Rattus norvegicus: one gene and its partners. The protein of the gene in region 3 interacts with the protein of the main gene of each other region in a pairwise test. Links are inferred from orthologs where the notes say so. Each region holds a gene or a part of one and is shown on either strand. Other genes may lie near its edges. The genes, in order: Cluap1, H2ap, Myog, Eif4e2, Polr2c and Txndc9.

Evidence for each region.
Region 1: the proteins of Myog (region 3) and Cluap1 interact in binary tests that used the Homo sapiens proteins (3 or more experiments, as listed by UniProt). The two-hybrid records come from large-scale screens. The link is inferred for Rattus norvegicus from reciprocal best matches to the Homo sapiens genes MYOG and CLUAP1.
Region 2: the proteins of Myog (region 3) and H2ap interact in binary tests that used the Homo sapiens proteins (3 or more experiments, as listed by UniProt). The two-hybrid records come from large-scale screens. The link is inferred for Rattus norvegicus from reciprocal best matches to the Homo sapiens genes MYOG and H2AP.
Region 4: the proteins of Myog (region 3) and Eif4e2 interact in binary tests that used the Homo sapiens proteins (3 or more experiments, as listed by UniProt). The two-hybrid records come from large-scale screens. The link is inferred for Rattus norvegicus from reciprocal best matches to the Homo sapiens genes MYOG and EIF4E2.
Region 5: the proteins of Myog (region 3) and Polr2c interact in a two-hybrid assay, tested with the Homo sapiens proteins (2 studies listed by BioGRID and IntAct). The link is inferred for Rattus norvegicus from reciprocal best matches to the Homo sapiens genes MYOG and POLR2C.
Region 6: the proteins of Myog (region 3) and Txndc9 interact in binary tests that used the Homo sapiens proteins (3 or more experiments, as listed by UniProt). The two-hybrid records come from large-scale screens. The link is inferred for Rattus norvegicus from reciprocal best matches to the Homo sapiens genes MYOG and TXNDC9.

What each region holds. Positions count from the first base shown.
Region 1 is NC_086028.1:12,093,394-12,098,135, forward strand, and holds the end of Cluap1 (clusterin-associated protein 1), read right to left. Parts: intron 4,484-4,742; coding exon 4,428-4,483; intron 1,382-4,427; coding exon 1,232-1,381; 3' UTR 953-1,231; downstream 1-952. UniProt on the Homo sapiens protein: Required for cilia biogenesis. Appears to function within the multiple intraflagellar transport complex B (IFT-B). Key regulator of hedgehog signaling.
Region 2 is NC_086039.1:15,579,561-15,583,099, forward strand, and holds H2ap (huntingtin-interacting protein M), read right to left. Parts: upstream 1,471-3,539; 5' UTR 1,387-1,470; coding exon 1,033-1,386; 3' UTR 916-1,032; downstream 1-915.
Region 3 is NC_086031.1:48,295,593-48,300,953, reverse strand, and holds Myog (myogenin), read right to left. Parts: upstream 3,479-5,361; 5' UTR 3,446-3,478; coding exon 2,975-3,445; intron 2,387-2,974; coding exon 2,305-2,386; intron 1,751-2,304; coding exon 1,629-1,750; 3' UTR 889-1,628; downstream 1-888. UniProt on the Homo sapiens protein: Acts as a transcriptional activator that promotes transcription of muscle-specific target genes and plays a role in muscle differentiation, cell cycle exit and muscle atrophy.
Region 4 is NC_086027.1:95,336,870-95,341,611, reverse strand, and holds part of Eif4e2 (eukaryotic translation initiation factor 4E type 2), read right to left. Parts: intron 1,387-4,742; coding exon 1,272-1,386; intron 1-1,271. UniProt on the Homo sapiens protein: Recognizes and binds the 7-methylguanosine-containing mRNA cap during an early step in the initiation. Acts as a repressor of translation initiation.
Region 5 is NC_086037.1:10,167,434-10,172,965, forward strand, and holds the start of Polr2c (DNA-directed RNA polymerase II subunit RPB3), read right to left. Parts: upstream 3,498-5,532; 5' UTR 3,474-3,497; coding exon 3,388-3,473; intron 3,287-3,387; coding exon 3,237-3,286; intron 558-3,236; coding exon 489-557; intron 362-488; coding exon 309-361; intron 1-308. UniProt on the Homo sapiens protein: Core component of RNA polymerase II (Pol II), a DNA-dependent RNA polymerase which synthesizes mRNA precursors and many functional non-coding RNAs using the four ribonucleoside triphosphates as substrates.
Region 6 is NC_086027.1:47,714,356-47,719,776, forward strand, and holds the start of Txndc9 (thioredoxin domain-containing protein 9), read right to left. Parts: upstream 3,407-5,421; 5' UTR 3,317-3,406; intron 3,221-3,316; exon of another isoform or gene 3,085-3,220; intron 2,230-3,084; 5' UTR 2,210-2,229; coding exon 2,021-2,209; intron 160-2,020; coding exon 41-159; intron 1-40. Other genes in the region: Eif5b (eukaryotic translation initiation factor 5B), read left to right, coding at 4,499-4,533. UniProt on the Homo sapiens protein: Significantly diminishes the chaperonin TCP1 complex ATPase activity, thus negatively impacts protein folding, including that of actin or tubulin.

The DNA of each region.
Region 1 (4,742 bases), on a different chromosome or scaffold from region 3:
CCAGAGGCCCTGGAACTGGAGCTAATAGTTGGCTGTGGGTCACCTCGTGTGGTGGGCACTGAGCTTAGCTTCCTCAGCCTTGGAACCATCTCTCCAGCTCCAGTGTTTTGTTTTGTCAGGCCTACAAGAACTCTCTGAGCTTTTCGTACATGTTTACAATGAACTATGATCATGTACACTGCCTCCCTTTTCTGCTCTCCCCCAAAATACTCCTGCCCTAATTTTGTGTCTTTTTTGTTTGATAATCTACTAAATCCAGTTAGTGTAGCCCAAGGGAGAAGCAGATGGATCTATGTGAGTTCAAGGCCAGGATAGGAGTTCAAGGTCTGCATAGGAGTTCTTGGCTAGCTACTAGTTACATAGTGAGACCCTGTCTCAAAAATGAAACAAAATAAAATGCTGAGGATACAATTCAGCTGACATAGTCTGTCAAGCAAGCAGGGGTCTGAGTGCTGTCTCCAAACACCCTCCTGCAAACCCTTAGTGTGCACTTGTAACCCCTGGGAAGCGGGAGATAAAGCGGGAGTTGACTGTCTAGTCAGTCTAGGATAACTGATGAGCTCCCAGGCCCCAGTAAAAGACCCATCCCTACACCCTCCAAAAGGTGGACAGTTCTTGAGGAACAAGCACAGAGGTTATCCTCTGGTCTTCACACATACATGTCTACCAGCACAAACAAGTACCTGTTCACATTAGAACATGTGCACATATAACATACAAATGCATGCTTGTGCTCACACACACACACACACACACACACACACACACACGGATCCCTTTTGGCGGAGTAGGTAACAGTAGACGTTGTTGCTGCATTTGTTGAGGGAGCCAGGCTGGGGAACTATGATGGTGGCATGTAATTTGAAGTGAATCCCAGAACAACACTCTGGGAGTAGAACCTCTGAGAGAAAACAAAACATTCATAGTCTGGAGCCTCTCTGTGGCCTGATCATCAAGGAAAACTAATTTAATAATAACAGCAGCCAAGACTTACATGGTGTCAAGTCTGTATTTCTCCTCAGGGGCTTTTCTTACAGATTGAATCACTTGGAACACGGGTATGGGGATCCCAAGCGTTAGGAGACAGACAAAGAAAATCTCTGTTGGAGTTTCAGTATGGATAAGCTCAGATGGGGTAGTGAACAAAACACGTTACCTTTCCAGCCTGCTGAGTCCCTGTTTACCTATACATCTGACGCTCTTAAGCTGTCTGGGTCTCTTGGCAAGAAGGTCAGAAGTCATTGTCACTCTCGTCCAAGGGCTCGGGTTTCCGGACCCTCCGACTGGGTTTAGCTGGTGAGAGCGCAATGCTCTCATCTTCCAAATCATCGTCATCTTCTTCATCATCTTCCATGTTCATTTCGCTGTCCTCCGAGTCTTCCTGAAGCAAAGAGATGGCAACTGTAACTGAGGTGCCGGCTCACCATGACATCTTGTCCCTAGAGACCCCACCTCACCCTTGCCAGGGCAATGACCAGCCACCCCACGTGGTGGAGGGTTGTGGGAACACACACACTGCCTGTTGAACGAGTCCACTCGAGAGGCTATAACCAGTAGCTCTTTACCAGGGCTACGGAACAGGGCTTGGCTGTCTGAGGCAGTCTCAAGAACGCCCTTAACATGTGCTGAGGAACCTAGATCTGCACGGCTCCTGCACTCCAGAGACCCAGTAGACAACAGACAGCAGGCGGAGGGGAGGCCTATTCCAGCTGGAGGTGGAGAGTGGTACAGATGTGGGAAAGAAGGCAAAGCGGTGGTGCCCAGCTCCTTTATGGTCTGGATCCAGGGAGCACCAGAGGCTGTCATTCTTACAGCAAGTCCTGTGTTCCATGAGTATCTGCCAAGATGGCTGGCTACCCAGTCTACTCCCGAGTAGTCATATGTGTTAACATTTTCTTCTTTAGAGAACTACCACCTCCTCCAGCCACCCTGCTGTCTGCTTCTTTCTAGCAGAAATCCTTGAGAAGGCCAGACCTACTGTGGTACCACACTTGATCTTAGCCAAATGCTGAGAAGCAATTCCTATTGTGGCACAAGTCTCCAATTCCAGCATTGCAGAGGCTAAGGCAGGAAGGAGGATGACTGAATTTGAGGCCAGCCTGAGCTACATAGAAAGACCTTGTCTCACAGTGAAAAAAAGAAAGGATAAACTCCCCGGGTAAATTCCTGTACTCCAGCGTTCCCGTGTTACCCCACCATTGCCTAAGCACAGCAATCTACCCCATAGCCCAAGACCACTGTTATGAAGACGGCAAAGGATATCCAGTAGGGATACGACCCTGTTTCTTAAATTCCAAACTCTAATTTCAACTGGCTGCTGCACATGGAACATGGATGTCTAATAGGCCACACACTTGAGAATGTCTAAAACCAATTCCTGATTCACCTTTTCAGCCTCTCCTCCCCCAAGTCATCTGTCTCAGGAAGTTAAAACCCTGCGCTTTTAGTCAGTTACACACAACCAAAGCAGTCTACATGCTCTTCTCTTCATCACACTGGTGCAGTCAACTAAGGAAACAAGATGGGTCTGACTTCAGAAACACCCAGAAGTCCAGCACGTCTCAACAGCACTGTCCTCACCTCCTCAGGCTAAAGCACCCTCACCTCCAGCCTACACAGCTGCCCTTGCTGCCGTCTCTCCTGGGCTGACAACTGCACATCTATCTTATGAGGGAGGGGCTCATCAAATCCCATGCAGGTCCACTGCCTGTGCCACTTCTCATCATTCTCAGCCTAGTTCCTCTACCCTGCCACTGCCTAGGCACTGGAGGTGTTCACACTCCCTGGGCCCAAGGGCTCTGTCCACCCTAACATGGCTCACCCTGTTCCTTATTCAGAGAGGCCTTGCCTGCCCACGAGGAAAAAAAAAATCCCTTGTCTCTGTCATTTCTCGCCTCCTGAACTAATTTTATTTCTTCCCTAATAACCGTGGCCATGGTATGCCTGCTAGATTGTTCCTAGAACACATGTGTCCCAAAGGCAAGGCCTGTTTTTATTCCCTGCTGCATTCAGGACCCGACATTGACAGGACTCAACAGATTGATGCTGGACAAACATAAAGCTGTGACAGAGGGGCTGTGTGAACACAGCCTGCAAGAGATAAATAAACGGGAAGACCCAGGCCATTGAGGATGTGTCCATTCTGAAAGCATGCAAGCAAGTAAAACAAGCCAGGCACTTTCCAGGAGGCACAGGCTCTCTAGGCCAGACCCATGTGTCAGCCTCGGGGGCTGGGGGTGGGTAGAGGGTAGCTCCCTTATCATAGGCACCCTTTGTGTGTCATCTCAGATGGGGGGAACGGATGGCAGCTACCTTATCATATGCATCCTTGGGATTAAAAAGAAAGTCACAGCTGAGTGACTTCCCTGACTCTCTAGTGACTGTCCTAGGAATTCAAGGTGAATTCAGGACACGTGTCTCTGTGTCCTGCTCAGCAAGACTAGGTGCTAGCTTGCTCCTGTGACTCTAAGTAATACCACACTGTAGTAAGCCAGGCACCATACAAGAGCATAAGGTCCTGTTTTGTCCCAGTGAAGGTGCTGGTGCCAGACCCTAGACACAGGCCCATACTTTACAAACTGATCTTGGATTGGTGTCTCTCCAGTACCTTTGGGCCCAGAAGTATGGCCAGGGACTGCAAGAACAGGGCTCAGAGAGCCTGGCAGTGCAGAGCCAGCCTGCCATTTTGAGAACCCAGAGTTCCCTTTTTGGTTTATCTATGTGGTGGAGTTCAAGGCACCAGCATCCTGGTCTCAGGCTCCTGTCAGGTGTCTCCAAGGCTCTGGTCTAGGACAAACATCTTTTCTGTGTTCCTGCTCCAGAACTGCAGAGGGTGCCGAGGACAGGCTGTGTCAGACCACAGTCCTTGGCATCAGCGCTTCGTTTCTAGGTTGAAACTCAGAGTTGATGACTGCACACGTCTTTCTCACCTTTGGTCTTGGTGTTTGACCCTGTTTAGTATGGTAATGCAAGAGGATCTATTCCCTTCCTCTCTTGCAATGGGATCTATTCTGAGGGCTTCCTGCCCAACAGAGGAAGCATCACCTCAGAGGAGAGGGTCTGCTAGCCCTGAGCAGGCCAACACACAGCAACAAACAGATGAGGCAAAGAGACCAACCTGCGTCCTGGAGCTGGAGGTCCTGCATTTACCTAAGAGGGCTGGTGCTGCTTGCGTCTTTGAAAGTGAGAGTGGAAAGAACTGAGAAGGTGACAAAGCAAAGAAGGGCGATGGGTGTGCATATTTATGTGAAGCGAGAAACAAGCTCCTGAGAAGCGAGGGAGAGCCAGCCCTTCCCAGACCGAGCTCCAGCACAGTCAAGCCATGTGCTGAGTACAAGCAGCTCCCTGATCTGGGCAGCACCTGAGCTAAGCTCTGAGCCCAGCCCCAGGCCGGGAGGCACAGGACTGTCGGGAAGGCATGGACTCACATCTTCATCGGAGTCTCCGCCTTGCATTGTGCCCACGATGCGTTTGCTGGGCCTTCCTGAGAAAACAAACCACAAAAATGGTGAGATCCTTGGAAAATATGGCAGGTGATGGCATTTAAAACTTGTCCTGGGGAAATGCCAACATACACACTAACATATGTACTTAAGTGAGCGCCAGCTAATTAGAACTGTCAACAAATCGTAGGTGCATTCCTGTGTCTCCGTTCTCTCTACTCTGAGAGAGAAACTCACTGTACAGTCGAGCTGGCCTTGAACTCGTGATCATGCCTCAGCCTTTAGAGTTGAGACAAAGGC
Region 2 (3,539 bases), on a different chromosome or scaffold from region 3:
TAAGATGAATCAAACATGCTGGATGAACAGTTCTGTGTGATCAAGTAGTTTCCATTTCTTAGATTTTGCTTAGTGCCTGAGGTAGAATTTGGAGGTTGGACATGTTTGATTCCCTATTGCCAAGTCTTTACATAGACAATAGGCCTAGGAGGAGATACATGTTCAAAGAACTGGTTTATAGCTTCAACTCTGAGATTCAATCATGTGTCAAGGCTAAATGAAAACAGTATGATTTCCTTCATCCAGATTTAAAAAATAACTAGTATTCCCATAGGTTATAACATTTGAAATTGGATTGAGATAAAATATAGACAAATTGACAGTAGAAATATTTGGCAAGCTAGATTCTCTGCCACCTTCTACCCAGAAGCAATTAGATTTCTATAAATCACAGGCTCTCTAGAAAAACATATCCCAAGACTAGATGTTTAACCATTTTACCTCTTCTAAAATGGATATTTCCTTCTGGCTTTGCCATTACACCATCATCAAGTGAATACTCTGTCCCTTATGCCTACTCATGTGACTCATGCAAACTGTCTTTACCCCTTCGCTGACACCCATTTCCTTCTGCTCTGAGACCTTTGCTCCCATGAAAGGTGGCTTCTGTTCATCAGCAGCATCTTCCAAGTTACCATACTGAAAATATAACTCTCCAGTGAGGCTACAGACTACTTCTGGTCTTCTCTGAGGCTTCTTTTGTACTCAGAGCCAACAAGGGAGCCTTCTCCACCCTCCTCTCTGCCCAATTCCCCCCACTGGGGTCATTACCCAGCCCACCCCCACTGAGAAGTACTCCCTCGATTCAAACCCCCACTCCTAAGCATAACTTCAATCTTTTATTCTTTCTTTGATATCTTGTGGATACCTCCAACTCAACGAGACAAACTGAAATAAGTCAGAACAAGTAACTTTCATTTAAACATTTTATTAGTATTCATGGACACAGGGGGCAGCCTCCTCTGCTATTAGCCTTCATGGTTCTAGCTGAGTTTGTGAGGCTTCCCACTCTTGGGTTGTGAACCCCATTCTTTAGCCATTCCTTCTGGGTCCAGGCATCTCATCAAACAGAGAGAAAGGCGCATTCTTGAAGGCTTGAGGGGGTTCACGGTCATTCTCTCTCTGTCTCTCTCTATCTTGTGAAATATTTTGCTGGCTGTTGATGTTGGCTTCGGAGCCCACCACCTCCAGGATGTAGTCGGTAAGGTAATCAAGCATGGCAAGGAGGAAGTCAGAAGTTGTGGAACCTAGGCAGGGGGTGTATTGCTCCTCCTGCAGTAGGCGGTACACATAGTTCACAGGCACCTGTACCTCAGGCCTAGAAGAAGGATCTTCCGTCTGCTTGTTGTCGCTGCAAGCCTTCTCTTGGCTCTTCTTCCCCGACATGATGGTTTGATGGTTTGGGCTCCGGTAAGCTCTGCCTGGTTCACCAGCAGGACTGGTTCTCTGAAGACAATGTTCAGTCAGGCCCATTGCACCCTCAACTTCTGCACCTCATTGGTCAGGAGCTACCTTTATGACATCTTAGGCTTTGAGATGTCATTGGTGCCTGGTGGGTTATGAGCTTTGACTAGGTTTTGAGCCTAGAAATATCTATCACAGCAATGTGACCACCTTACCCTGATTTTGAGGGGACTCTAACTCTTCTCAATTACACTTGAATTAACATTGTAGAAATAATGTGTTTTACTTGAAGCTGTCTGTCTTTACAACCTTTCATCAATTACAAGGCAGTGATAAGCATGTCAAATACATTTCCAGGTAGAGGCTTGACTGTCCTCTTCAAGCAGTGTTGAGACCCTTTTTGATTCAATTTACTTATTTAAATAGGCTTGGTTAACAATCCTGTACACATTTGAATATATTCATTCATATGTTTATTCAGTATCATAGATATTCAATATCCACATGAGTTTTATCCAATTTCCAAAACATCTCTTTTTGGAGAGGAAATGCTTGGTGTGTTTCTGGTACATAGATGTTGGTAGCTATACTTTGTGTTCTATTTAAGTCTGGATATTGCTTTCTTGTTGTTCTTTCTGTTGGGTTAAAGCCAAGCTCCAGTATACATATTTTATTTCAATTTTCCTTTCTATTACTATCTTGTTTCTGTATTTTTGTTGTGTTTTGGTTCACTTATAACCAGTAACTCCTACTCCAAAAGATCTATAGTGAAAGGAATCTTCAATCAAGTCAATATCAAAACCCAAATATGTAAAACTTTATTGGATATCAGGGCAGAACAATAAGCTCATGAGATGTGAGACCACTGATCCTGGCTCTATTGATTTCATAACTTTATCTATAGCCAGATTTCTTCCCTCCGAACTCTCTGATAATTTCTTTTAATCATATGTCCTTGGCACAAGGTTACAAGTGAGTAATCTTAGCCACTATTGTTCTTCACAAAGCTTAAAAACCCCACAGATTTCTGTCATTTCATCTTCTGTCACCTTCAATCTAATCTGACATTAATTCTGCTGATATATCATTTTCCAAAGCTTACAGATCTAAATGACTCATTTCATCAGACATTAGATTCTTTCACAGGTCCTTAATCAAAGTAAAAGGTAGTCATGCTTCAGCCCACACACACAGAGAGGCTAAGTAACAAGGAGGGCTCTAGGGGTAATGACTGGATTTCCCTGGGAAGGGGATATAGAATAGATTATGTGGGTAGACTGGAGGTTGGTAGTGAGTGAACAGGAGAAATCAGGTTGGGGAGGAAGCAATGGATGGAGAGAGTACAAGGAGAGACTACTTGAACTTAGGAGAGGGCTTGATAGGCAATGTGGAAACCTAGAGAAGTGGAAACTTCCTGGAACTTATATGAGAATGACCCTAGTGAGGACTTCTAGTAATGAAGGATATGGAGCCTGAACTAGTCATCTCCTGTAACCAACCAGGCAAGGCATCCAGGAGTGGGATTTAAACACAAATCCAGTCACAAAACCTTTGATCCACAATCTGTCCTGCCTGAAAGATGTGCCAGGGCAATAATGGCTTATAGGAGTGGCCAACCAACGACTGGTCCACTCTGAGGCCCACTTCACAAGAGGAAGCCCACACAAGACACTGCTTGGATAGCCAGGAACCAGAAGCTGAATGGCTCAGAGACCTAAGATTGAACCAAACATGTCTGGCAAAAAAAGATCAATGAAAAAAATCATAATGACATTGTGTTATACTCATAGATTAGTGCCTTGTCCACTCATCATTACAGAGGCTTCTTCCAGCAACTGATAGGAGCAAGTGCAGAAACCTACAGCCAAACATTAGGCATAACTCATGAAAGGTCCCCCAGAAAAGGGGAAAGAAGGTTTGTAGGAGCCAGAGGGTTTCAGGATACCAGGAGAACAAGCCCCACAGAATCAACTAAGCAGAGATCATAGAGACTCACAGAGACTAAAACAGCAACCACACAGTCTGTGCTAGGTCATAACATATATGTTGTCATTGTTTAATGTGGTGTTTTTGTGGGACTCCTAACAATGAGGGTTCGGGTATCTCTGACTCTTACTGGCTCCTGGGACCCCTTT
Region 3 (5,361 bases):
CAGGTGCAGAATGGCTGTCAGGGCCTGCTCTCTTAAACTGGCTGGGGTCAGTTGTCACAGGACCTGAGAGGGCTGAAGAGGGCCCAGGATGTACCATATACTGAATCCCTGTCTGCAATGGTTTGGAAATAATCTCCAGTAAACCAGACCAACAGTAAGGTTGAAGTCTGTTTGTCTGTCCTGATTGTGGTTCTTTTTAGATACCGTGTTAATCCTTATCTCTCTACTGGCAAGATTCCAGTTTCCCACCCACCTTCTCCCCTCAGGAAACCAGTCTTTGAAAACCTTAGCATCCCAAAGGATGAGAACCCCGGCTTCTCTGATGTTCTCTGTCTCTGTCTCCCTCAGCAGACTCTCCTCACCTTTGAGCTGTAGATGGGGACAGGAATATCCCCAGAAGGGCAGAAGGTGATAAGGGGACATTGCTATTTGTCTTGTGAAGAAATGACACTGTCTGACTCCATTTGTTCTGTGTAGTCACCCCCTACTCTCCGTAGAACTTAAAGGGATGCGGATCCAGGGGAGGCACGGAGCTGAGGAAGGAAAGCCCTGAAAATCCAGCTCTAAACCCCTAGCCCTAGGTGTGGGCTGGGCACAAGGCACGTGAGCGTGCTCAGTGGACCTATTGGGCTGGAAATTGTAACACAGTGGACTGTACATGATGTCTGAATTAAAGTACAACAAAGGGTTCTGCAGGCCTCGGTGTGCCCGGGATTTCTAAGGAATCTGGTCTTTCCCCAGGCTATGTGTCACCTGCCTCCTGCATCTAATGGTCAGCTCAGGATTGAAGCTCCACTCACATGATCCAACCCCCCCCATCTGGACCTCCAAGGGGAAGGTGCAGTGTTTTGATGCCTCCCCTCCTGATAATATCATTGCAGACGCTCTGATAGCAACCGGTCTTTATTCATTTTTTAAAAAAGGAAATCCAAATAAGTTAGCAAAAAAATTACAAAAAAAATTGGCAAAACCACACAATGCTTAGTTAACAAAAGAAGTCACCCCAAGAGCCCCCACCCCCTTCCCTGCCTGTCCCTGGCATCAGCACAGGAGACCTTGGTCAGATGACAGCTTTACAAACAACACACACAACAATAAACAATACACAAAGCACTGGAAGGTTCCCAATATCCACTGCAAATGCTTGCCCCCCAGAGACTTTGGAACCCTATCGTTCCCTCCCTTCTCTCTCATCTCAGGGCAGGCCCAGCCCAGCCACTGGCATCAGGAAGAGAGTCGAACAGATGTGCACACTTGTCCCGGTCGGGGCACTCACTGTCTCTCAAACTGTCTCATTTGGGGGGTGGAATTAGAGGCGCATTATGAAGAAAAAAAAAAAGGAAGCTCCTGAGTTTGCCCCGTTGAGGGGCATTAACAAGGGGGCTCTCTGGACTCCATCTTTCTCTCCTTGGAAGGGGATACTCTCTGCTTTAAGGAGTCAGTTAAATTCCCTTGCTGGGCTGGGTGTTAGTCTTATGTGAATGGACGGTGGGTAGTCTGGCTTGTGGCAGCCCAGGGCTGTTTTCTGGGCACCAGGACAGCCCCACTTAAAAGGCCCCTGCTGCAGAAGTGGTGGCGTCTGACACCAACTCAGGGGCTCCCATGCACACCCAGCCTGGCAGACAATCTCAGTTGGGCATGGTTTCATCTGGGAAGGTGACAGACATATCCTCCACCGTGATGCTGTCCACGATGGACGTAAGGGAGTGCAGGTTGTGGGCACCTGTAGGGTCAGCTGCGAGCAAATGATCTGTAAGGAGAAGGTGGGGAATGTTTCCTGGGCAAGGGGTAAGGGACCCTTGATGACACAACTTTTCCAGGACAAAATAGGTAAGGAAGACTCAGGAGTGCCCCCCCCCACTAGCACTCCCCATGCCGTGTGTGTGTGTGTGTGTGTGTGTGTGTGTGTGTGTACTTGTGGGCTGCTTCTGAAATCCCCTAATGCAGTTGGGTTTTGGAAGTGGCTAACCCAAGGTGAAGCCAGGATATCCTAGGGAACCGGGCCCAGTTTTACAACACTGACTCAGCAATTCCCAGGGACCCCTGGGGCAGGGGCAGGCTCTCCCCACCCCCTCCCCAAGTCAGACGCCAGCTGGGAAGCTGTGGGAGGCCCTAACTACTCATTAGCTGGTCAAGGCTACAGGGAGGTAGGGTCTCCAGCCCACCATTTGGGGACCTCGGGTCAGCAGGTTCCTGGAAAAGCCGCTGGAAGGTAACTGGAACAGGTGTTATGGTAAGGGAACAGCCCAGCCTAGTTAGGACTAAGGGATTTGAGCCATGTTACCAGGGTCAGGATTCACTTACCTCCTGGGTTGGGACCAAACTCCAGTGCATTGCCCCACTCCGGACTGCAGGAGGCGCTGTGGGAGTTGCATTCACTGGGTACCTGCATGCAAGACAAGGCCAAGGTCCAAGGTCAAGTCTACTACAGGTCTCAGGTATTTCTCTCTGCCTGGGTTACAGGGTCAGTTACTCACCATAGAATGTTACCGTAGTCATCATATTTCTAGGTCTTTCCTAGCTTCTAGGATGGGAATTTTGCCTTTATTTTAGGGATAAGGGTGGTAAACCAGAGTATTTTGTTATGGTGGCTCCTGAGCCGGCCTATGGACATTCTAATGTGTTTTGTTAGCTCAAATATAGAGGCTATGGCTTTGGGATAAAGCGGGTTTCTTTGGCCACTTTTTCTCATTTTCACCTAGGCTCTCCTAAGCCCTTACTTCAGGCTTGTTTCTGGGTCTCTTCTGTTCCCTTGTGCCAATCCACCCCACCCCATCTGTATTTATATTCACTGCCTTTGTCTGGTCTGGAAACAGTATGATCACAGAAGGCCGCTGGACACTCTAGCCGACCAGGAAAGGGGTCCTGGGATCTCCAGGGTCCTGCTTTGCACCTGTTCTAGCTCTGGTGGCCCGAGGCTGACCAGGCACCTCCCTCTGGCTCTATCCCTGGAACTGGTGCACCAGCCACTTACCACCGGCTGGGGCCCGCCCCCGCCTCGGTAGCGGAGATCGCGCTCCTCCTGGTTGAGGGAGCTGAGCAAGGCCTGTAGGCGCTCAATGTACTGGATGGCACTGCGCAGGATCTCCACCTTAGGCAGCCGCTGGTTGGGGTTGAGCAGGGTGCTTCTCTTCAGAGCCTCGAAGGCCTCATTCACTTTCTTGAGCCTGCGCTTCTCCCTCAGTGTGGCTGCCCTCCGCCGGTCCACAGACACAGACTTCCTCTTACACACCTTACACGCCCAGGGCAGGCACTGGCCTGGACAATGCTCAGGGGTCCCCAGTCCCTTTTCTTCTAGGGGCCCTCGGGCTTCCGGGCTTAAGCTGAGCTCGGTCCGCTCATAGCCCGGGGGCTCGAAGCCCTGAAGGTGGACAGGAAGGTAGTTTTCCCCGTCATAGAAGTGGGGCTCCTGGTAGAAATAGGGGGATGTTTCATACAGCTCCATCAGGTCGGAAAAGACTTGTTCCTTCCACTGGCCCCCAAGCTCCTGCAGCCCCTCACGCCAACTGCTGGGTGCCATTTAAACCCTCCCTGCTGGCATGGACCCAGAGATAAATATAGCTAACGCCACAGAAACCTGAGCCCCCCTCTAAGCTGTTGCTGCACATCAAGACGTTTACAGTGGATTACATGTGATTCCCCTTCCCTCTCCTTTTGCCCCCACCCCACCCTGCCAGCCTGCCCCTGGCCCAGGCGGCTCCTGTGCACGGGTCGGGAGGCCGTCGGCTGTAATTTGATTAGTTTTCATTTCTCCACAGCCCCTGTGGGGCAGGGAAGGTGGGGGCGGGTACATTCCCCGTCTCATCTGCTCCTTTCAATTACTCCTACCCGGGCCTCCTGCCTGCTCTCCTCCATGGGCCAGGGCAGCTGGTGGACAGGGCCAGAGGGAACAAGAAAGGGGTTGCCTTGGATGGGAAGGGTTCTTCAGAATCCATCTAGCCTTCTCTTTCCTGCTCAGTGGCACCTTAAACCGTACTGTCAGTCCCGTGAGGTCCCTACCACCACAACAGGACCACTCCACGTTTGGATCATGTGTATATGTGTGAAACCCTAGAGTCCATGGAGGCAAAAGACTGAAACTCAGAAGAGCAAATGGATCCAACTTTTGGGTTTCCACGGCATCTTTGACCAGGTCTCATGTTGTTGAGGGTGGGTTGAAGTAAGAGAACACGGGACTTCTTAAGTAAAGGGGGAATCCTGAAGTAGTAGGGGTCGGGTGAAGTCAGTGTTTAGCAAGGATTAGAACTCACAAACTACTCTACGTTGCCTTCTCTTCCAGTCAAGGGCTGTTCAGTCCCCTGTCTCCCTCCCTGGTGTCTCTTAATCATCTCTCCTGTGCTTTCCCCTCAATGATGTCTTCTGCCCATTTGGGCACTAGAACCATTTTGACTCCTTCCTTCCTTTCTGTATATGGGTGATAAGGAGAATGAGTAATCCTTAACATTGTGTCTGTCCTAGGCTGCCACCAGGCTGGCTTCTTCTATCCCTTCCGGCCTGAGTCATGACCTTTGCCTGTGTCATACAACTCTAGAATGTCAGGTGGGGGAGGGGCCATCTCCACTGAATCTTGGGCTCCTTCAGCCCAGTAGATACCTCAGTAGAGGCACTGATGGTCATGGAGGCCTCTGGCCACCTTTCACCCTACCTCTGATTCCTGAATCCCTTTTCCTGTGGCTGCCTATTCCCCTGACCTGAAGCTTCAGGAATTCTGGATTTTGAGTCACAAACTTTCACCCTACGGCTCAGGACTTTCCCCATGACCCTGCAGACTAGGTGTGATCTGTCCTGCTGTTCCAATGGAAGAGCAAGAGACGGACACACTACCAGTCAGGACAATCAGGGGAAGGGTGGAGTTGTATGGGGTGTGGGATCTCAAGGAGGGATCCCTTCATAGCGGCAGTGAGAGCTGTGTGAGGTCTGAAAGGCTGGCCTTTTCTCCTCCCTTAAGGGATGAGCCAAGAAAGCACTGTCTTTTGAAGGAGGAAACAGGTGTGTGAGGGGGACATGCTGGAAAATAAAGGAGCCCCAAGCAAATTGGGGCCTAGTGAGGCCTTAAGGCCGTTCTTGACTTCACTTGGGAATACAGAGTGCAGCATGGTATTGTGGATTCTAACACACAGAGAATATTCATGCTCAACACACTCCCCACCTCCTCAAAGTGGAGAAACAAACAGACGTTTACCTTGCTTCAGGTTATACTCTGGCCCTGTGAGCCCTGAGAAGAGAGGGATATCACATCTGCTGTGCAAACCCCCAAATTATATCTTTTGTCCTTGGGGGACCCCATCTGACTTACCCCTAAGCAAACTGTCTTCTTCTTCTGAAGTGGGAGCAGACAGGACTTGCTCTTAGATGCCTTGC
Region 4 (4,742 bases), on a different chromosome or scaffold from region 3:
CTCAATGTCCATTACTAAAGACGGGCAGGTTGCTTAACCTTCTTGTGCCTCAGCAACCGTCTACAAGACGGAGGAAAGGACAGTAAGCACCTAGAAGGGTCACTGTGAAGAACAAATGACTAGAGGCACCAAGAGCTTGGTCACTGACTGTCACAATGGAAGTGCTCAATGAACATAAGCTCCTTCTCTCTCTCTTTTTTAGACAGGGTTTCTCTGTGTACTCCTAGCTTGTCTGGAACTCACTCTGTAGACCAGACTGGTCTCAAACTCAAGAGATTGGCCTGCCTCCCGGGTGCTGGGATTAAAGGTACACACTGCCACTGCCTGCTATCTTTGTGACTTCTTACCACCTTGTAAGAAAAGGCCTGCTTAGCAGGCATTCAGATTATCAGATAAATAGTGCTATAATACTGAGAAACTTGATCTACTACTTCTCTTTCATTTCCTAAATTCTCTGTATCCCAAGCCACTCTCAATGCGTACTACTGTTGACTGAAAAGTCTAAAACAGGAATGTGCAGGATTTGAATTACTGAGTAGCCTTTAAAGAAAGCTCCAGGTGAGAGCCCTCACTCGCCCATCTCATATGAGGAGACTATAGCAGGACAGCACCCCAAGACTTCACATTAAGAGGAAGTTATAATTTCCAAAATAAACTATAGTCATTCTACCATCTTTTTTTTACACACACACACACACACACACACACACACACACACACACACACACACACACACACACACACAGAGGTTATCGTGTCAAGCCAGGAGAGGAGGAGAGGAAGAGAGAAAGAGAGAGAGAGAGAGAGAGAGAGAGTGAGAGTGAGAGTGGAAGAGCGGAAGGAAGAGTGAGAGTGAGGAAGAAGAGCCATTCTACCATCTTTTAAAACTTGTAATGAGGGATGCATACTAAAGATTTCACTGTGACATTCCTATATACACATCCACCAGGCTTTGGTCATACCCAGTGCCCCGTGTCCTCTTTTATACCCTCTCCCCCACTCTCCATACCTTTCCTCCCTTTTGTCAGTGCTAGGGATTGAACCCAAGGCCTTATACCGACCTCGGAGTAGTACCCTAGTCCCCGATCTTTATGTCTCCATGAGTATACGTGCTTGAGAGTGTGTGCGTTAAGAGCACATGGTGGGAGAAGTCTCTCCAGTCCCCTCAACCTTGTTTTAAGAACAGTCAGATTCCAAAAGAGTGAATCTGCTCTAAAGAGATAATGAGATAATCAAGGCACACGACACCTGTATTACAACCCCAAACATACCTTCCTCTTGCCACCACTCTGGCTCTTATCTCGGTCTGTTTTTTCCTTCTCACCATCTTTCTGTGTGCTGTTTTCTTCATTCTGATCATGGTCTCCACTGTCATCATCTTTTAAGCTACAAGGGAAAGCAAAATAATGTCATTCCATCACTAAACTATTGTTACCTAACAAAACTATAAGGTCAGAGAACTACTAAGTATCCCGAAGTCACTCAAACCCCAGGCCTATGAGATGTGTCTGTGAGAAGGGCAAAGGGAAAGCAAACCAGGAATATTAAATAAAAACTATTAAATTAGCTACCCCATGGGCTCCAGTGAACAGTCTTTCAGTTTCCCAACAGCAGCATAACAAAGCAGTTAAAGAGCTGGATTTTGTTGTAATAAACAAACTGGTAATTAGAATTTCTGGACAAATTCCTCTGACATCTCCAAGTTTAAAACCTGCCCATATACTGTCACGTCCACTCCTTCCACCTCTCTCCCAGCTGCCCTCGTTCCACACCTTAGGTCAGTATCCTTCTCCAGTCATCTAGTTCATCATTGGTCTATAAGTGGGTGTGATGTCAGTCTCTCCTCTCCACCCATCCTCTTCACTTTCTAAATGTGAATCTGCTAATGAACCTGCGTCCTTAAGATGCTCAACCATCAACTTCCTAATTACCTATCCTCTAGAGTAGCATTCAACACAACGTGCTTTTCCTAAGACTTTAGAAGTTCAGTCCTGTCCAGAGCCTACTCCTCTCCCTTCTCATACACATCAGCCCTTCTCACTGGCAAACACCTTGCTTGCTTCCAGTCCAAGGTGCCACTCCTCCCTGTCTGTTTCTTCTTTGAGACAGAGGGTTTCTTTAGCACAGTATCATACCTCATCTCATTATTACTGGCACCCAAAACACAGATGACACAGAACAAAGACTGAATGAAAAGGAAAACCAAAGGAGGAGTGGATGTGTTGTCTTATAAGCAGAGTCAACTGTGAAACCACCTAAGCCCCACCAGATGCAGACAAAAACAAGCAGGTTAGTGCACAAAAATAAGAGTGCATTTGCTCAGTCTGCTAAGGTGGCTCATTGGGCAAAGGCACTTGTGGTCAAGCTGGGGGACTGAGTTCAATCCCTGGAACCTACACACTGGAAGGAGAACCTACTCCTGCTAAGCTGTTTTCTGACCTCTCTACTCCATACACATACTTTAAAAAAAAATGGAGGAGACAGAATGGCATTCACTCCAGAATTAGCCCATTCGCCCATAGGTTTTCTCCAGAATCATCTTTTGGGTTCTATAATGGTATATACAAAAAAATGGAATCAGGCATTTTCAAGACAGGTCCCAGCACACCTCAGTTGTAACTGATATCATCCTACACAGACTCAGAAATATGGTGCATACCAGTTTGTGTTTTGGAAAGTGGTGGTGCTTGGTGTTTGTTGTCTGCTCATCTTTAATGGCTAACGTATAAAATGCACCTGTAAATAACAGGATGAATAAGCTAGTCCTGTGTGGGGTACCTGCTCTGCCCAACAGGCAGCCATACTGCAGGAGATACTCATGTGGCCATTCCCTGTGATAGATCTCCACATCCCCACCTGGTCAAGACCCCACTAGATAAGGCATAGGAGCAAAGGGCAGTCCAGTCTGCCTAACAACCTATGCCTCATAACCTTTCTTCAGAATACTGACTCCTCTCTCTATATTGATTTCATCCAAGAGAACAAAGACGAAGGATTCAGAAGCTGGACCAGCTTTAGGGTCTTTGAAAGAATCAAGACTCGGAGCAAAAGGGACAGGCAGTCCAGAGAGAGAGAAAGGAGTTGGAACTGATGAGCATGTGAGGTTAAACAGGGACCTGAAGCATCACCCTCACCCTTTCTAGAGTGGCTCAAGGAGGCATTCCACGATCCCAACCCAGAGCCCACTTTCTCCCACATGGGCAAGCAGAGCAAGTGGAGAGAGGTGTGCAGACACTGCCATCTGTCTGCTTCTCAGAGACATTCATTACCTGTGCTTATTAAACTTCCTTCCCCTTGGTTAAACTTGTTTTGCTTAGTTTCCTTTTCAAATCAAGCCTGCCTTGGACATAATGCCCATGAATTAAAACTTACCAACATTTACCAAGCAGCTCACTGGCTACCAGAGTACCTGTCCTCAAAGAACTAAGGAGAGATAAGGTATATAAAGCCTTGACTTGGTGCAAAGGGCCATTCTGTTTGCATGTCCCCCAAACATCTCCTGCCTGTTCTCTATGACCCCCTTCCACTCCTATTGTGTCCACTTAAGTGCAGGTCCCCATCTCTGCCCCACTCCTACCATGTTCAGCATGGAGTCATGCCTCCACTCCTGGTTTACTGCTCTTCAAGATTCACGTTCTCTTGGAAACAGTCCCTACTCTCTCCCAGTATAGGTCAAACCAAACCCTCTCCTCTGCTCTGTATAATACAAGCATCTCAAGGCCCATTTCCATCCTCTGATCTAGAACCGAGAATACCTCATAGATTTTTCTACTGTTTTTGGCCCCAAACAACTCTCTTTTGTAACACATCCTCTAGGGATACAAGACCCTTTGTTTTCTCCTAAGCCCTACTATAGCCTCTGAGGTCATTTTATTAGATTTTGGTTGAAGAAGGACAGTCACCTAGGACCTCTCATTTTTGCCAGCCACAAGAAAAGTGTTATATTCCTTTCCTTTCTAGTGGTTTTCTTTTGGTTGCTACTAGGAAACAAAAAGAAAACAAAACCAGTTAAGGCAGAGAAGAAACAATGCTATTATTCTGAAACCATCTTAGACGCCTTTCTAAGCCAGCAAGTAGGAACCTCAATGGACTTCATTTTGTATCTTTATGCACTGGTCTTTATTTTAGTTTTGAGGATGCTGGTAATAAAACCCAGCATTTCCTTTATGAAAGGCAAGGACTCTACCAATGAACATCCCCCCGCCTCACCCTCTCATCTTATGAAAATGGGTCTCTCTAAATAGTCCTGGCTGTCCTAGAACTCACTATGTATACCAAGCTGGAACTGAACTCACAGAGATCCATCTACCTGTCTCTGCCTCCTGAGATTTTAAGGGTATGTCCACCATATCTACCCTGCTTTAACCTGCTCTTTGCACATACACCCAAGCCAAAGGTTTACAACCTGCTTTTCAGAAGCTGTTCTTCCCAGCTTAAAGCTGGATTTGAGCCAAAGTAGAGTACACACTAAAACAGTAGCACTCCACAGACTAAACTACTTAAACTACTCAATTCCTGTTCAGACTAAGTGACACTTGGGTTAGCTCTCTAAGCTTCTGCCTAGGTACTTCTCAATACTCCCTGGACTAGCAAATTCAGTGCAGGGAGGGACTTTATCTAATTTTTCCACTGGTATCTCTAGCACCAGGCACGAATATAAAACAAACATGTTTAATGGATGGATCTCCCAATATCAAATTAGGTGGTTTAGAAACACTTAAAAATAGGCCAAAAGCTAATGA
Region 5 (5,532 bases), on a different chromosome or scaffold from region 3:
TTTTGGTTGTTTTGAGACAGGGTTTCTCTGTACAGCCCTGGCTGTCCTGGAACTCAAACAGATCCACCTGCCTCTGCTTCCCAAGCTGAGCCTAGAGGCATGTGCCGCCACACCTGCCCGTGATGATGCCTGGATGTGCTGAGAGCAATGTGAAGCCCCATCAGAACCAAGGACCACACTACTAAGACATCATCTCAACAATGAGCATGCTACAGTCAGCTGGAAGGAAGATGCCCAGAAAGATCCCAGGGAGAACTGGACCCCCCTCCCCCGACCTGTGCTTCCTGTCTATCTGCCAACACACGTACCCGGGAGTACTGCAGCTTGTCCACAATGTCATCACTAGTGAGGGGGATTAAACCTGCAAGACACAGAAAAGTGCTCTGCAGAACAGCCAACAGCCAAGCCACCACAAGAACCTCAGAGGTCAGGCAGGCTAGGGACAGGGAGCATCCCACTTTGATCTCTTCCTCAACACCGGCACTCACCAAGCCTGTGCGCGATGAATTCATCATGAAGGACCGAGGAGTTGGCATCAATCTGAACCCAGTCAATGGCTGGAAAAGGCGGCAACAAGACAGGACGAATGAGAACTAGCCATCAGATTCATTTACAGACCTATAGCACTGTCTCACATCACTCAGTGCCCAGCAGCACTCGGGAGGCAGAGGCCAGCCTTGTCTACAAATTGAGTTCCAGGACAGCTAGGGCTACAAAAGAAAAACAGTGTCTCCAAAGCAAAAACAAAAACAAAAAAAACCAAAACAAACAAAAAAGAAAGAATCAAGTCAGTGCTTACAAAGTTGAAGGTGACCAGACCAGGCCAGACTAGGCTGTAAGAGGCTTCAAAGTTTAGCTCCAGGTTTAGGCCTTCCACATTTCATATATATAATCTTCCTGCCCCAGTGAACTGGGTATAGGCCTTGTTAGTGATACACATACACCCCTACCTACCTCAGAGAATTTAGAGATATTTAGGGAATTGAGTACTTTAAACCAGCTACCTGTGCCAATACCAAATCCAAGAATAAAAGCTATTTGGGCACCTAAAAGTTGAGGGAAACATGGGTTGGAGGAATGGCTCAGAGGTTAAGAGGTTCCTGGCAGGGTTGGGGATTTAGCTCAGAGGTAGAGCATTTGCCTAGCAAGCGTAAGGCCCTGGGTTCGGTCCCCAGCTCTGAAAAAAAGGGGGGGGGGAAGGGTTCCTGGCACCCATGTCAGGTAGCTCACAACCCCTGTAACTCCAGCTTCAGGGGGATCTGAGACTCCTGGGCACCTCTGGCACCTGCATTCACCTGTAAACACCTACACACAGAGACAGTTAAAAACAATTTAAAGGGCTGGAGAGATGGCTCAGCCCTTAAGAGCACTGACTGCTTTTCCAGAGGTGCTGAGGTCAATTCCCAGCAACCACATGGTGGCTCATAACCATCTGTAATGGGATCTGGAGCCCTCTTCTGGTTTGTCTGAAGACAGCAACAGTGTACTGACATACATAAAATAAATAAATATTAAAAAAAAAATTTAAAAATTTTCAAGTTAGGGAAAACATCTCAAGAGTAAAAAGTAAAACATCACAAGTTCATGGCCCACACCTTATTTATGATATCACCAGAGAGCCCACTTAGAATTTCAGTGTTACTCCCATCAAGGGATGGTTCACTGGATGGCTTCAACAGGGAAAGCACACTAACAATAAATCCAACCCCTCTCAGTTCAATGCTGGGCATACGGGACTGTACACACACAGAAGCTTAACTTAAACCTGTACCTAATCGCCCATAAGCAAACACCTGCACATAAACAATGATGTTCAGAAATCAAATGGTGTGGGAGCCCAGTTCTCAAGCAGCTGCCATAGGCACAAGGAAGAGAGGTCAGAAGACCAGGCGAGGACAGGCCCAGCCTGCCCTTCCCTGCAGCGCTTCTTCAACCCTAGCAAGGGTGAGGCTTCCTGACGCTTTACTTCCAGGGCCCCCTCAATGCCCTTAATCTACTCCCCATCCCTTAACCCCTGGTGGGAACTCCCGGTATAAAAACCCTGTGTGTGCGTATCTACAAATGCTCCATCCCCTTCTTTTGGTCTCCTTCCTTTCTCTCAAAACAAACAACAAACAAACAAAACTGTTTAGACTCTCCTGAAGACAGCTGTCATATTTTGCCTTGTGTTATGTTTGCTCATTTCTTGACTTCACCTGGAAACTTACATGATCTACAGAAATAAGAAATTCATTAAAAAAAAAAAAAAGACACCAGAATAAATACAAAAAACCCTGTAGTCTGTCTTATCTGTCTGTCTCTCACTCACACACACTTCAACCATAAAGAACTAAAGTATGCTGTTTGTAAAAGAAAAGTTTAATAACACACATGCTTTCTCTCATGTGGGCGCTCTCTCTCTCTCTCTCTCTCTCTCTCTCTCCCTCCCTCCCTCCCTCCCTCCCTCCCCCTCCCCTTTTTAAATAAAAGGAGAGTTCAGGGCCTACAAGATGGTTTAGCGGGATAAAGGTACTTACTTGTTGTCAAGCCTTATCGAGGTCAATCCCTGGGACACACATGGTGGGAGAAGAGAATCCCTCCCACAAACTGTACTCTGACCTTCACACATGAACTATGGTACTCTCGAGCCCAGAGATATACACATATATGTAAATAAATATGTTCTAAAGAAGATAGGGGGAGAAGAAAAGAAAGTATAGCAGGGTACTATCTGGAAGGACGGAAGGACGGGAGAAATCACTCTGTGTGTAGATTTAAAAAATGTCATTACGTAGTCTGTTATTTTGTAAAATTAACAGACATTTTCAAAAGACGCCAACCAGTAACGAACACTGACTTAAAAGCAAAAGCGCAGGGGCTGGGGATTTAGCTCAGCGGTAGAGTGCTTGCCTAGGAAGCGCAAGGCCCTGGGTTCGGTCCCCAGCTCCGAAAAAAAGAACCAAAAAAAAAAAGCAAAAGCGCACCATCTACATTACTTCAGTAATCTCTGTATCACCCGCTAACCTAGGGTCACCTTACGGATGAGGAGGCTGCAGCCCTCGGCTGTTTTAATAGTGCTTAGTCTTGATTTCTGTTGCTTTTGGGTAGACGAACAGAGTTGGAATCCCCGCTGCCGAGCAAGGCACGCACCGAGGCGGGCCTAGGCAGCCGCAGCCCGGCGTGCACCTCCTCAGTGTTCTCAGCTCCCACCCGGGGCGGAGGGACGGCGGCACCGGCTCCGAGGGAGGGTCGCTTACCTATTATGGGCACCTCTGCGATGAAGACCCTCCGAATGGAATTGGCCACCCTACAGGAGGAAAGGCAGGCAGCGTGAGAGGCCCCGAAGACACAGCCCCGGGGTCAGGAGCCCGAGGCCCCGGCCGCCCGCCTCTCCCCTCGCCTCCTTACGCCAGGTCCGTGTTCTCGATAATGAACTTGACGTTCTCTTCAGTGAGTTCCGTGATCCGCACGGTTGGCTGGTTGGCGTACGGCATCACGACCGGCTGCCTGTCTCCCGCGCCAGCCCCACAGCGCGCCTGCGCGACCACCAGTTTGTCGGCGGGGCACCCGGGCGCTTCCGGCTAGACGTGGGCGCAGTGCCACCTGCTGACCGGAGGCCGGAACTCCTGGCCTGTGTTTTCTAACCACACTGGCTACATGCACTGGTCCTATGCTCTTGAAATCCCCAAGATACACAGCACAAAATTTCACGGACAGGGTCATTCACGCCAATGTTATTTGTAATTGCTAAAAATAATAATAAAAATTCCTAGGAAGCGCAAGGCCCTGGGTTCGGTCCCCAGCTCCGAAAAAAAGAACCAAAAAAAAAAATTGATAGAGGCTTGGTTAAACGTACATACGGGGATGTGGAGATAAGAGCACTGGCTGCTGTTCCCTAAGAGTTGGATTGTATTCCCAGCATCCATATGACGTCTAACATCTTTAGCTCCAGTTTCTAAGGAATCTCTTTCCTGGCATCTGAGGGCACCAGGTAGTCAAATGGTGCACAAGCATACATGCAAGCAAAACACCCATATACATAAGAATAATTTTTAAATGTGTAGGAATACAATAAAGCCTTTTAAAAGATGGAAGCTGTACATCTAAACATAAATAAAATGGCTAGGGAGGTGGCTCATTGTGTAAAACGACTGACAGGTTATTTCTCTGCCAGAGAAATGAGTCAATTCAAGTCAAACTAGAACATATTAAAAGGTAGGTTTATTGGGAAGCTGTTCTCAGGCAAGTTCACTGGCCCCCAAGAATGGAGGCCAGGGGAGTCACCAAGGGAAGGACAGGGAGGGAAAAGAGGGGAGAGGGAGAGAGACGGGGAGGGAGGGAGGGAGAGAAAAGGAGAGAGAGCACAAAGCACAAGGTATCTGGATTAAACAGGAAAGAGAAGAGCCTCTGAGGAAGGGCAACCCAGCCTCTAAGCTGGAAAGTTCAGGGTGGGGGCAGAATATGACAAGTAGGGACTGAAAGATGCTGGGAGTACCTAGGGGCCAGCTCTGCATTGATATGTAAAGTACGCACCACAGTCCCTGGTCCCACTGTCAAAGCCAAAACACCAATGTGCAAGGATACAGGTTCAAATTCTCAGAAAACTCGATGTGCAAGGATACAGGTTCAAATTCTCAGAAAACTCGATGTGCAAGGATACAGGTTCAAATTCTCAGAAAACCCGTAAAACAGCCAGCATGGTAATGCCAAAGTCTGTAATCTTAGTGCTCCTTTGAGTTGGAAGGTGAAGAGAAGAATCCCCTGTATGCTCTTAGGACAGTTAGATAGTGCGCAAAGAAGCAAACAACAAAAGACCCACACCCGAGCTGATGTCAGAGAGAGTGCTGTAACGCATACACATGAAAATCAAAATACATGTGTGTGTGAGAGACGGTACAACACATCATGTGCGTGGAAAGACACCAGGCCTGACTGCAAATGCTCTCACCCACTGAGCCATCTCAAAGGTCCCCAACATATACTCCAACAATGCCCATACAGAGGGGGCCTGCTCACAGTACACACCATCCCTGGGAATTGTGAGTCCCACTTGTCTGCTGAGTGAGAGGGATGCTAAAAAGGATAGAGAAAAGATGAACTGTAATCATGGCAGTAACTTTATGGGACGTCGAGACAAAAAAATCAGAGGTTCGAAAAGAGCCCGACAGAAAGTCCAGTGGACAAGAACGGAAACTCAGCTTTCCCCGTCAGCTGATTTAAACAGGAGTACAGCAGAAGGCAGTGCAAACCATGGGCACAAAGGAAACAGCCAGTGTAAAGGCTGGAGGACTATGAAAGCTAAAGATTGCCCTCATGTAGTCAGAGAGTAGGAGCAGACAAGGAGCTCATGGCCTGGGACTGCCCTCACTTGCCTGGGCCCAGAGATGCAATGCTGTCATGGTGGCCCTGTAGGTTTAAGGAAGTGTCACAGTCAGAACTCAGACTTCTTCCATATACTACTGTCTACCGTCGGGGTCTTGGATACTCAACATTGTCTAGATGGACACCGTATAGACAAAACAATAAGAAATTGTTTCAAACATATTTATTATT
Region 6 (5,421 bases), on a different chromosome or scaffold from region 3:
TGTCTCATCCCAGTAGAGAGAAGAGCGGAAGCCAGGTTACCTGAATGTGGTGTCTCTGTAGAAATGGCAAACCACCTTCTCACTCTCCTTGACCTCTTGAAAGAAGTCTCTCTCGCTGCCGATTTCCCTGTACTCCCCGTGTCCTTTGGAAAGCCATTCCTAATTTCAAGAGAAGCAAGAGACCCAGCTGACACGTGTTTTCGTGGTACCGAGTGTTTTATATCTCTTAATCATTGTGTAATTTTGTAAGGGAATCAATTCTATTGCATAGCAGGTGTTCCTTCAGCAGTTGGCTTTCCTAGGATCTCAGTGGCCATTGTGCAGAGCTAGTCTGTGGGCAGGAGTGACCGTCTCATGACAGGGGTTCATTAGGGCAGTTCTGCACCTTGTTCATTTACCTGCTTCATTTTAAGTTTCACAGCCAGAATTTAGGTCTGTGAGACATAACATGAAAATACCAATTTAACTTTCACATGTGTGCTCTTTAAACTAATAAAATCAGGGTTGTTTGATTACAAAACGGTTTTTCGGTTTATTTTTGTGATGTGAGGGACTGAACCAGGAGCAAGAGCAGGAGACAGGAGAGCTCTACCACGGAGACACACACACACACTCACTATTTTCTACACTTTAGAAAGTAATGCTCTCACAGGCAACTAAAGAATGTTGAGAGTGGGAGGAAGAGTCTTCTCCAGGGAAAAGCACGCCAACTGGCTGTCCACTACCAAATGGTCAGTCTTGAAAATGTACACACGAGTTAACATTACAGACTGAGCAGGGCATATTTAGAAATGTGTATGTCTACACACACACACATATAGGGATGTAACAACAATTAGTGAGAACAGAGGCTGTGAGCGTGAAAGGGAGAATATGGGATGGCTTGGAAGGAGCAAAGGGAAGGGGGAATGATATAATCCTATGACAATCTCAAATTTAAGAAATAATGTCCTATCCACAGCATAACTAAACAGACAACCAAACTAAACCAAACCACCTCATGAAATAAAGCCCATCCACCCTGGGGGACAGTGCAGTTATCGAAGCTCAGGAAGCTTAGGACCCTATCTGCTTCTGACAGTAATCTCAAAACAGGCCGGGGCTTCTAGAGCAGCCAATAGTGAGCAGAGTCCTCAGAAGGAAAAGTATCCCACCCACGTGGTGTCCAAAGCCAGGGAAAAAAGCCTCACATCTAATTCAGGTTCCCAAGCTGAGGCAGGGCCTTTGTCAACCAAGCCTGGGACTCTTCCAGCCCCTTCCCCTTCCCTGTAGCAGAAAGCTTGTCACCTCAACGGATGCTCACTCTCCCTTTCAGGCTGCTGGTTAGGAGAAAAGTAACAAGGGAGGCTGCAGTGGCCACGCCCATCCGACATTTACTGACCGTTTTTTTTTTTTTTTTTTTTTTTTTTTTTTGGTTCTTTTTTTTTTTTCGGAGCTGGGGACCGAACCCAGGGCCTTGCGCTTCCTAGGTAAGCGCACTGACCAGTTTTAAGGAGCCTTCCACTTCACCTTCTCTCTTGTAAGTGGGTGCAACAACCCAACCATGTCACTGAGTGGCCATGAAGATGACAGACAGAATGGGGGTGCTGGTGCACACCTTGGGCCCCAGCGCTTCGGAGGCAGAAGCGGTAAAATGTCTGAGATTTCTAGGCCAATCATGGCTACACAGTGAGATCCTGCTCCTGTCCTGCCCTCCCACAAAAGACAAGACAACCTAATAAAAACGCAAGTCTAACACTTAGAAATATTTTCTCACACACAACCATCGTATTTCTTTTTGATGTGTGGACCCTAAGCTTGCCCTAAGAAAAAGTCTCAATGTCTCTCTTTCACATGTCATCGCCTCAGTCAAATGGTACATCTTGCCTAAGTCTTCCCTAATGTTTTATTCCTGGGCAGCTACTGAACAGTGTCGTGTGAATTTGGAACATCCTGCAAGTGAGGAGGGAAAGTCACATGACTGCACAGTGCAGTCAGGAGCACAGGGTTACAGTGGTTTCAGAGAGCAGGCGGAGGTTACTTGTTTCTGCTGCTGAGCCTTCCGGAGCGCCGCCAGTCTCTTTTCTTTGAGCAGTTCCAGCTCATCTTCACCGATCTGATCCAGTTTCTGAATTTCAGAGTCCAAGTGATTTTCCACTAGCTTAGCAGCCTGGAGGAACTGGTTTTCTAGGACTTCTGAGAACATGTCGATAGATCCATTTCCTTCCATTTTCCTAAATGGTCTTGGTGCTGGGGGAGGGGAGGGGTTCATAAAAAAACAAGTATTAAGTTTACACTCTGGGTTTTTTGTTTTTGTTTTCTTTTTGTTTTGTTTCTGTTTTTCTTTAAAAGACAGGGTCTCTATAAGGCCTGAGACCTTAACAGGCGCCATGTTGGAGGCATCATTTTGGCCTTAAAACTCAGCCATGTAGGCCCCAGAATAAAGATACCCACTGGCCAACCTGATTTACCCAATTTCTCAATGAGTCTTTCTTCCCAGGTGACTGTAAGTTACTGCATAAAGTTGGCAGCTAAAACTAATCAACTCGCACACAAAATAACCCTGGGCACGGTGGCTTATGACTGTAACCTCAGTTCTCAAGGGCAGAAGCATAAGGATCAGGAGTTTGAGACCATCCTTGGATATATTTGGAGGACAGGCCTGGGCTACTACATAAGACCATTTATTTTAAAAAAAAAATCCCTAAACTACCCTCTAAGCCTCAATTTTCAGCTCCTCATGAATATTATACAACTTAAAAGCTGTATCCCCAGGTTCCCTAACCTGGGGAGGAGAGATACAATAAGACTGTGACTCTTCAGGAAGATCTAGATGAAGGGATCCGAGACCAGCTACTCACAATCTGCCATTAACAGGGCATAGTAGTCGCTTATCCCTGAGGTTTTCACAGACCTTTAAGTTTAAATTCAGAGCTTCATGAGACTAATAAGTGCTGCGCTGGGTTAGGTGGGGCTAAGGATGTGTAGCTTAGTGGTTCCCCATAACTTTCTATTTGTTAAGTATTACTCTTACCGATGAACTGGGGGGGCTGACACTTATTTGTTCCCCTACAAACTCCTACCCGAAACCCTAACCCCGTGTACCTGTCAGCGGACTCTTCGCCACTCCCTGAGCTCAAGGGACTGGTGGAGGAGTTCCGGGGGGTGGGGAGGACGCTAGTTCGCACTAACTGGGGCGCATGCGCCGTAGCCTCCGCAGCCGCCCAGACGAGGCCCTCCCAGCCGCCCCCAGCCCAGCCGGATGTGCAGCCGATGTGTGTCCTTCATCTACACGGGGACGCAGTGGCAAGATCGGCTACAGAACCCTCTGCCGTACCTGGATTATTGGTGAAGCCTACGGAGAGAGGGAGCCGCAGACCAAGAGCACCGACCAGGTTCACGCAGGTTTCAACCTCACAGCAATTGTTAAGGGCGGCGAATGAGCTGTCAGCTCCACCTTTTCATTGGCTACAGCCCTCTCGCGATATAACCTGCGGAAGGGGCGGTGGAGAGTGACGAAAGCCTCGGAGAAGCTCTTATCCTTCGCCACCCGGAACTACTGACTTCTGAGCCTACACTTCACGTGGGCTAATGGCCGGAGGGATGGGCGCTAAGGACGCTGGGGAATGTAGTTTTTATGCACTGACTGCGGGTCCCAGCTCGCAAAGCTACGTGGAAACGAGCCGGGTCTTGCGCTTGAGTGACAGAGGGGCTTCGTTTGCCTTGCGTTTAATAGTTTCTAAAGTGTAGCTTCCAGTATGCTATAAATTTGTACACAGCTCACACTATAACAGTGCACAAAAACATATGGAGAAAAATTTCACCACTCCAGGATCTTCCCTCCCCATTTTATCTTACACACATGCATTTTTAGAACTTGCTCATGAGAAGATTCATATTAGGGGTCCGGTCGCTGTGCCCTTATGTCTTTTTCCCTTAATAGAAGTACACAGTTGACAATTCAGTGTCTGAATTGGTATTTTTGTTTTTGTTTCTGTTTTTGGTCCTGCCAACCCCAGAAAGCTCATCATTGGCTCCTTGTGGTCCTGCAGTGGACTTCCCGCAGCTGAGGCGAGGGGAGTTTTCAGTCCCACTTCGGCGTCGAATGCCAGCCCCGGGGAGGGTGCTTGACAGTGGGAAATGAACGGCCTCATTGTCCTCCTCCAGGTTCTAGAACCCGGGAGCTGCTGGGCGTCGGTGCGCGGCGCTCACTTGCGGCTAGGGGGCGCTCGAGTTCCCACCTGGCCGGCGGGTCAACTCCAGACGCTCTAGCCGAAGCGCCGCTCTCGATGAGCCGCGCCCTGCGTCCCCACGCCGAGGCGGCGGGGCGATGCGCTTGCGTACTGAGGGCTCACACCATATGTGCCCTGTCCCAGTGCGCGGGTCTGTGGAGAGCCGGGTGCGAGAGGCGGCGGCGCGAGGGGGACCGAGCCGAGCGGGCATTGGAGTCGGCTGGGAGACAGTGGGTCTGTGAGACACCGAACCGAGGGGCCGTGGCCACGAGCGCCGCTGACAAGCGATGGGGAAGAAACAGAAAAACAAGAGCGAAGACAGGTTAGGCGGCGGGGCTCGGGCCGGGGGTCGTCGCGCGGGGCCCTGGGTGGGCGAACCTCGACGAGGCGCGTCCCGCGGCCGGGGCTCGGACTGCGGTCCGAGGCTTGGGGCTGGGGCACTCGGAGGTCGTTTGCGGGGGTTCCGGGCGGTGTGGGGCCGGGCTCGGGCGCAGCTAAGCCAGGCCTACGGCCCAGGTGAGTGCGAGCCGGGCCCTGGCAGCTAGGGTAGGGCCGGCCGGGAGCGGCTCGCTCGCCGCCCCTGACCCTGGGAACGCCTCCCGGAGCAGCTCAGGAACTTCGAAGTTGTTCGGGGCTGCGGAGTGGTGGCCCAGCGGCTCCCTCGTCTTGTATGCCAAGTTGGAAACACTTCTGGGGTTATTTAAAGTGCCGGTTGCCCAGACTCCTGCTTTCTGGCTTTCCGTCTTCCGGCCTGTCTTTCTCGCGTATGTCTTGGCTTCCTACCACTTCCCATAAGACAGAAGGAGGGGAAGGAACCATTCGGGGTCGCTGCTTTCTAACCCTAAAAAAAAAGTCTTTTCAGGGAGAGGAGGGTCTCTGAGCTACTTTGGCGGAAATTTTGGGGAGCATGCCCGTGTCACGTTCGATTATGTTCTTTTACCTTTTTTCGGTTGAGTTGACTTCCTGGGAGTCTGCAGCCATCTGGTTCAGTTTCATCTTTAAGCAGTAGCCATTCAACTTATTTTAAAAACTCCACAGGTAACCGAACATAAACCCAAGCCCTGTGGCACTCCATTGCCGTGGTTCTCACAGTCGAGGTTTTGAAGTTACAGCTATTATTAACCGTACATCGGAATGTTAAGTTTGTGGACCTCGAGTTGGCTATCTGGCGAGTAGAATTAAAACTAGCCTTGTATTTTGGTTTTAGGAA